2 linked regions of the Danio rerio genome follow. The protein of the gene in region 1 interacts with the protein of each later gene in a biochemical or structural test. Links are inferred from orthologs where the notes say so. Each region holds a gene or a part of one and is shown in the gene's direction. Other genes may lie near its edges.

Evidence for each region.
Region 2: the proteins of sntb2 (region 1) and ptprnb form a complex in vitro, tested with the Homo sapiens proteins (2 studies listed by BioGRID and IntAct). The link is inferred for Danio rerio from reciprocal best matches to the Homo sapiens genes SNTB2 and PTPRN.

Annotation. Positions count from the first base shown.
Region 1 is NC_133200.1:37,489,180-37,493,291, forward strand, and holds the start of sntb2 (beta-2-syntrophin), read left to right. Parts: upstream 1-1,286; 5' UTR 1,287-1,541; coding exon 1,542-2,085; intron 2,086-4,112. UniProt on the Homo sapiens protein: Adapter protein that binds to and probably organizes the subcellular localization of a variety of membrane proteins. May link various receptors to the actin cytoskeleton and the dystrophin glycoprotein complex.
Region 2 is NC_133181.1:14,913,400-14,916,943, forward strand, and holds part of ptprnb (receptor-type tyrosine-protein phosphatase-like N), read left to right. Parts: intron 1-577; coding exon 578-926; intron 927-2,504; coding exon 2,505-2,648; intron 2,649-2,757; coding exon 2,758-2,792; intron 2,793-3,544. UniProt on the Homo sapiens protein: Plays a role in vesicle-mediated secretory processes. Required for normal accumulation of secretory vesicles in hippocampus, pituitary and pancreatic islets.

The DNA of each region.
Region 1 (4,112 bases):
GAGCAGGCAACGTTTCTCCAATCTTCTATTGTTTAATTTTGGTGACCCTGTGTGAATTGTAGCCTCAGTTTCCTGTTCGTAGCTGACAGGAGCGGCACCCGGTGTGTTTGTCTGCTGCTGTAGCCCATCCGCCTCAAGGTTGGACATGTTGTGTGTTCAGAGATACTTTTCTATCTCATGTTTCTTTGTTTATATTACAATTCTGAATTAGTTTTTTTCTTCTTCCTGCAATTCTGAATTTATTAATCATTTTGAGGAGTTCATAGGCTGTTTTTTTCAATTCTAAATTTTACAACAAAGATGTTTACATGACAGAAAAATAGCTGAAATTATGTTCTTATTTATTTATTTTACTTTGTGATGGTTGTTCCTGATGATCCTCAGTTGATTCATCAGTTTTCCCTCTTTTCCATATTCGTGCTATAAACATATTCACAAACGCTTACACAAAACTGTATTTTGAATACTCCCCCCCCTCCCCCCTCAAATTCAAAACAACACGACTACATTAATTAGTGTAAGGAAAAACAATTATCATACATAAATTTTCTGTCAACTGTGATAAATAAAATAAAGCTGTGTATTAGAGTTTTTTTTTAAAGCTGAGGTGAGTCATTTAGAGTATGAGTAACACTTTGAAGCTAATGAGAACAGTCAACATCTTTTACTGCGAGTCAATATTATTTTGGGCAAAAACACTTATGTGTTATATTGACCAGCAGATTTACCAAACACATGACTTCAATACAATAGAGCTTCAATCCCTTCAGCTACAGATGAAAATGGACTTTGCTTTATGGTATCGGGATGGAAGGATTATTAAAGCTTAATTTAATTCTCTATTAAAATGAAAACAGTAAATATGAAAATTAACTAATAATCCCATCTATTTATAAAAACTTAAATTAGCTCACCAATAGTCTTTTAACTGTCTGTGAAATAGTGACAAGTTAAAATTTTATATTAAAAACGTATTTATTTTGTTTTATATTAATTATAATACTAACAATAACTATTATTATTATTTGTTGTTGGATATTAACTTATTCAACGTATAAAGATTTGAATCTGATTAATTATTAATGAGAGAGTTATCTTTGTTTTCCTACTATCTATCTTATTACAACTAAAAGCTGCATTATAATAAGAACAAAAGTCATACAGTAATGATGACACTGAAGTAATTTTACGCCATTATTTTCGCTTTGTTTCTAAATCACTGTACAGCTTTAGTGGCTTTAGTGCGGCGAGGAAAGATAAATAAGTTGACAATCCCCGCCCCTCTCATGAATAATCAATGAGATACAAATCTAACGCTTTTCTCCGGCCGTCCGGTCTAAGCAGCAGCGCGTGTTTTTAATTAAATAGTTTCTCCGTGCCGTGAGAACCCGAACTCGGAGAGCTGCAGCAATAAATACCAATGTTTAAACTTATTAAACAGATTTATTATTAAAATTTCGCTCCTCTTCCTTCCTCAGGGGAAATGTGCGTGCGAGTGGGTGTGTCGAGCGAGTTTAAACTTTAGGATGAGTTAAAGTTTGATGATGGCCGTGTGGACCCGCGCGGAGAAACAGGGTCATCTGGACCTTCTGCTGAGCGACCGCTGGGTCCGGGTGTCAGCGGAGCTCACGCGGGACAACCTCACTCTCACGGCGGAGGGAGAACCGGGCGGGCCCGCGGGTTACCCGGAGCACAATTCGCATCTGAAAAACGGCGTTTCCAATGGCAACGAACAGAACCGGGATGTGTTTACGAATCGCGTGCAATACGACAACAGCCCGGGTCGCGTTAACGGGACCGGGTCGGACTCGGAGTCCAGCGGTTACTGTGACTCGGAGGGGGTACGCAGAGTTCGGATAGTCAAGCAGGAGTCCGGCGGACTGGGGATTAGCATTAAAGGGGGACGGGAGAACCGTATGCCTATCCTAATATCAAAGATCTTCCCCGGTTTAGCTGCGGATCAGAGTCGAGCTCTGCGTGTGGGCGACGCGATACTGTCCGTCAACGGCAGCGACCTCCGCGACGCTACGCACGACGCGGCGGTGCAGGCGCTGAAGAAGGCTGGGAAGGAGGTCACGCTGGAGGGTAAGTCAATCACTCGAGCCGCGGGGATTCAGTAGGCCTTTGTAGTTTACCGTTAATCAAAACAAAGTTTTTTGAATAATTAATTATTTATGTGTTCATAATTTACACGCCTAAATAGAAACTTTGAGGTGTTTCAGGTTTTATTGTGTTGAGTTTTAACTGTTCATGTTGTAAACATTGGCTCATTTGACATATTAGATAATTCAGGTTTATAAGAGGTTTGGAAACCCCTTACTGAAGTTATGAAACTTACAGATGTGTGATGTGCATGACTGAAGGTTTTTTGTGGTAATAAGCAGATAACTTTTTTTTCTCTAATAGCAATTTTCTCCAAACACCAGGTATGATTTGAATAGGAATGGGAGTAATACAGTAAAAGAGGAATAGATAAACAGATGTACTGTATTACTGTACTTTTTTAACTTCATTTTTTTTTGGTGAAATCACAGTATTATTTTTTATTTATATATTTTTTATCTATCTAATGATTGATTTATCCCCTAAACATCTATCAATAACTCTGATTTGCAATACCCATATTCTGCAATACAAAAATTCTAATTTTGAATGATATTTTAGTTCGGTGTTGAAACACTTTAGTACGATATTTATTATTAATTATTGTCTTTGCACATTTTTTTTAATTTTAAATAAATAACATTTCATACAAGTTTTCTTCAAAATAACGCCCACTTCAGTGGCTCTTCTTCTTTGATTGGTGTTCACTGGCATGAAGGCGGAGTCAAGGTGTCATTCAGTGTGACTGACCAATAGCAAACCACAGTCAGTGTAAAAATCCAGCCCCACTATTTTTTTCCTAGTAAAGATTCTGTTTTGGGCGGCACGGTGGCTCAGTGGTTAGCACTGTCGCCTCACAGCAAGATTGTTGCTGGTTCGAGCCCCGGCTGTGCCAGTTGGCATTTCTGTGTAGAGTTTGCATGTTCTCCCCATGTTGGTGTGGGTTTCCTCCAGGTGCTCTGGTTTCCCCGCAGTCCAAACACATGCGCTATAGGGGATTTGAATAAATTGGCCGTAGTGTACGTGTGGGTGTAAATGCAAGAGTGTATGGGTGTTTCCCAGCGCTGGGTTGCGGTTGGAAGGTCATCCGCTGCATAAAACATATGCTTGATAAGTTGATGGTTCATTCCGCTGCGGCGAACCCAGATTAATAAAACGACTAAGCTGAAAAGAAAATGAATGAATGAAAGAATCTGTTTTGCGACTTTATTTTCATTAGTCTCGTACCTAAGAGTAAATCTATGTAACACGTTTTTCAAACTAAATTATATAAATTGTATGCATTTTGTGGGCCTGAAAGAATCGTTTTGACATGTAAACATTGTCTAATAAATAGTCCCACAAATTTTGTGTCGAAGTTTGTAGACTATAAAACAAAAAAACTATAAAATAAAAGCAAAAATTGTAGGTAGCATGAAAAAAATGCAGATAAAAGTCTTTAATATCTTTAAATAATGTAATTCACTTAATTAGAAATTTTATTTGTCAGCAATATTATTATTATTATTATATTACAAAATATTGGATTTGTTACTTTTGTTGATATGGTCTAAAATTTTAAGGGGATATATCATCTTATTATTTAAAAAACAACAAAAATCATGGTAATAAAAATTATTTGTATTGCAAAAACACGCGAAAAGCTGTGATTAATAAAAGATAAATATAATAAGTGGAATCATGACACATTTTTGTACAGTGACAATAAATAAAAATTTTAATTAATGACCATTTAATTTAATTAATTCTTCCTACAAAATATTATAGTTTAGTCAAATTTATTTATGCAAATGATTTATTTTTTCTGGATCGAAACCTAATATCTGATTCCTATTTTAGTGTAAATTTGGTCAGCTTACAAATATTTCTACAAATATCAGTTTTTTTACTTGGTGCTTAATTTTCATATTTACAAATAGTTAAACAAAACTGACTTAAACGCAATATTGGCACAGGCAGAGTTTACATTGGTGGAGTCCAGTGAGTGTTGTGGTATTTAAATGTCTCCC
Region 2 (3,544 bases), on another chromosome or scaffold:
CTCACGTTTGTCTGTTTGTCTGTGTTTTTAAAAATGGCGGTTTCTTTGTTTTTATTCTTTTTTTTAATGTAAAAAAAAATAATGTATCACAAGAACAATAGCATACAAAAAATTAGGAATACAATGCTCACAATTATTTTTACATCAAAAGAACAAATCAATAGAGAATAAACAAAATAAAATAATGTAATAGCAGATTAACTTACAAAAACATCAGCTTTCTTTGTTTTCATACTCCTGTCTTGTTGCAGGAGCGAGTGAGGTATTTCTGTATATCAATAGTGTTCAGCTGCGTGTCTGGTTCTGCCTTTTGGTACCCTTTTTTTGTTATAAGGTACCCTTTGCAAAGGGTACCCAAAAAGTGGTACAGTTCACTTTTAGGTACTTTTTGACATAGGAAACGGATATAAAAGCATAACGAACTGAACCGATTTTCTGAGTTCTGATTTTGTCATACAAAGCAGTGCATGGGCTAGCACCTGACTACATTTGTGACCTGGTTTTATATATATATTACAACTACTTTTCTTTAATTTCAACATCATGTGTGTGCATGTGTGTTTTTTTTGTCTAACAGTATGGTTATCAAGATGAAGAGGAGCGCTCTTTAAACCTGGTGGAGAAGGGCAGATATCCCGCATCCTCCTCTCGTGTCAGGGGAAATCCTCCAGTTCCTCCATCTCTGGATAAGGATGATCAGCTTCTGCAGGATCTGATGACTCTCCTCCTTTCCTCTCCTGCACAGCCCAGCTCACGCCATCGTGTGGCAGCACCACACTCCACCTCATCTTTTTTCCAGGATCTGGACTTCCCGCTTGAATACAAGGATTATAACAAGGACACTTTTTCCCAGGATGAAAGGATCAGCAGCCAGCGAGAGCCAAAGAAAGGTCCCCAGAAGTATGGAAGCTTTTCTGCGCACAGCGGTGAGATAGTTTGTTGATGTTTATTGTAGCTTAAATGTACAGTATTTGCACAGCAAAAAATTACATTGGCAATAGTTGGCAAATCACTAGTTACTGTATTTTTTTATTACTTTTCAACTGAAATAAGTAAAGAGATTGCCTTTAATTAGTGTTTTGTTAATTTAATTACAGTTATACACTGTAAAAGTGCTGAATCCCTTTATGTTGTCCTAACACAGATTTATTAAGTTAACTGTTACAAATTAAAATGGATTAGAACCAATATTAATAATTCTGATTTAAACTATTAATGCACCTCAATTTTGCCCATACAGTATGTGGCATATATACGCATATATGCAGCTAATATATTATCATATATGTGCATATATACTGCATGTAGGTTTCATATGAGCAACAAATGTCATTTTTTTGAGTGGTTGTACTTATTGCTTTAAATACTGCATTTTTATGCATAAAGAAGAATATTTATCAAGACAGCTGAATAATGTGCACTCAAAAAAAAAAAAACTCATTGAATGAACTCAATTTAATTGAGGGCAGGATTTCCAATAAATTTGTTAAGCACAAACTAAAAAATTTTTTTTTAAACAATTAAATGGAATTGAGTTGATTTTATTAAATACAAGTTTAAATACATTTGTATTTTTGTTCAACTTAAACTCAAAGGTCTGATAATATCATGCGCTGTACGTCTATCATGTGTCGTACATTTTGAAGTTTTTTAGTTTTATTTGAAGTTATCCTAAGTAAACTAAAGAGCTATTTTAAAGCTTATTTCATGAGTTGCATATACAGTTGGTTGAGACTGATCTCAGAACTCATTTTAGGACAGTTACTGCTCACTGAGCAAAGCAACAAACTGCATTTTTGCTAATTAAGCTGCCAACACCCAAAGCATGTGTGCTTCTGCCAGGTGGTAAGTTTATTTATTTTTCAGAACATGGGACAGTGTACATTAATCAACCTTCTCAAAGAACGTAAAAGTACCCAAATGGGGTATATGCCGAGCTAGTGTGTTTCCCATACTGATAAACTTCCGGTGACCTGTTATTGTGAGGTTTTTTTTTTTTTCATTTTATACGGTTCATTTTACAGCATTGATGTTGTAATGTAATTCAAATTCAATCAGTTAAACAGACTTTGGCATTCATTTAGTTGCTCAAAATGAGACAAAAAGCCGCTTACTCGCACATGCCCGTCGAAATCGGCAGGCTAGCGCAGAAGCTCCATTGAATATACTGGGGAAAATAAAATGCTCATATTATAAAGACATGGCGGGGAAAATGTAATCTAATGCGGTGCTTCTTGTACAATCAATTTATAACAGATATCACTCAGCCAGTGGAGATGGCTGATTTTTAAAGAAAACAGACCTTAAACGCGCAGGTTTTGCATTAGCATACAACTCACCGGAAATTATTAACCCAGGTGACTGGCAAATTAAATGTCCTGTTAGCATGCTTCGGCATATACCCTATTACCCCAAAGACTAGTTTTAATTTTTCTGTAGTTCTTATTGTTGATTGATGAGCACTGTTCAATAAATAAAATAAATGACCTTTCAACTCTAACCAGCTGCAGGAACATCTCAACAAGGCCTAAATGAGCTGCTTCTGCAACATGGGTTTGATCTAAATCACCTGAACCCTGAGGAGATGGAGCGTCTCTTCTCTGTCCTTCAGTTCCTGCAAAATGAGCCACCAAATAATCAGAGAAAATGTGAGCACTCTGACATTTCCATAACATTTATTATTATTTAGATATAAATTGTTATTGTTGGCGCTCTGAAAATATGCTAATTTGGAATTGCTTGTTTTTCTTCATTCAGCTGAAGCCAAGGATTCCTCTGCGCCTCCAAAAGTGGTAAGCAGAAAGAAAATGTAGAACTGCTGTCGTTTAGTATTTCAGTTATGTTTCAAGGTTGGGTTGAGCTCAGTAGTAGTACTTTTTATTAACAGCAGGGGGCAGCAAGTATTAAAGAGATCGTTCACCAAAACGGAAAACTCTGTCTTTAACACAACCTTCTCTTGAAACTCAAACTTGAGTTTCTTTCTTCTGTTGAACACAAACGAATTCATGTTGACAAATCATGTAACCATTGACTTCCATAGTAGTTTTTTTTTCTGCTATGGGTGTCAGTGATAACCGTTTTGTAACATTATTCAAATTATCTTCTTTTTTGTTCAACATCAGAAACTCATGGTGAGTAAAAATATAGTGAGTAAATTACATTTTTGAGTGAACAATCCCTTTGATCTATAATTCTATGAAAACAAGTGGGGGAACTGTGAGCCATGACCATGTGTGATTTGTCATGTAGGTAATTTCTATTTAATCCAACGTTGATGTTTGTCTGTGCACAATATTTTAGGTTCTTTAGCACTTCAGCAACATGATTCTTACCTCCTTCTTTAGTCCCCTTTGCATAAATAACCACGGCTGGTTATAAAATTAACAGACTTTTCTTGATGGCCCATCTGACAGCATTTTAAAGAGAATACGAGCGAAGAAAAAAATAGTAGGATAAACATTCTGGGAGAGTCGCAGTTGCCAGAAGTCAGAGATAATCTGCAGACATGAGTCACATACTTTAGTGTACTACATACACTGAAAAC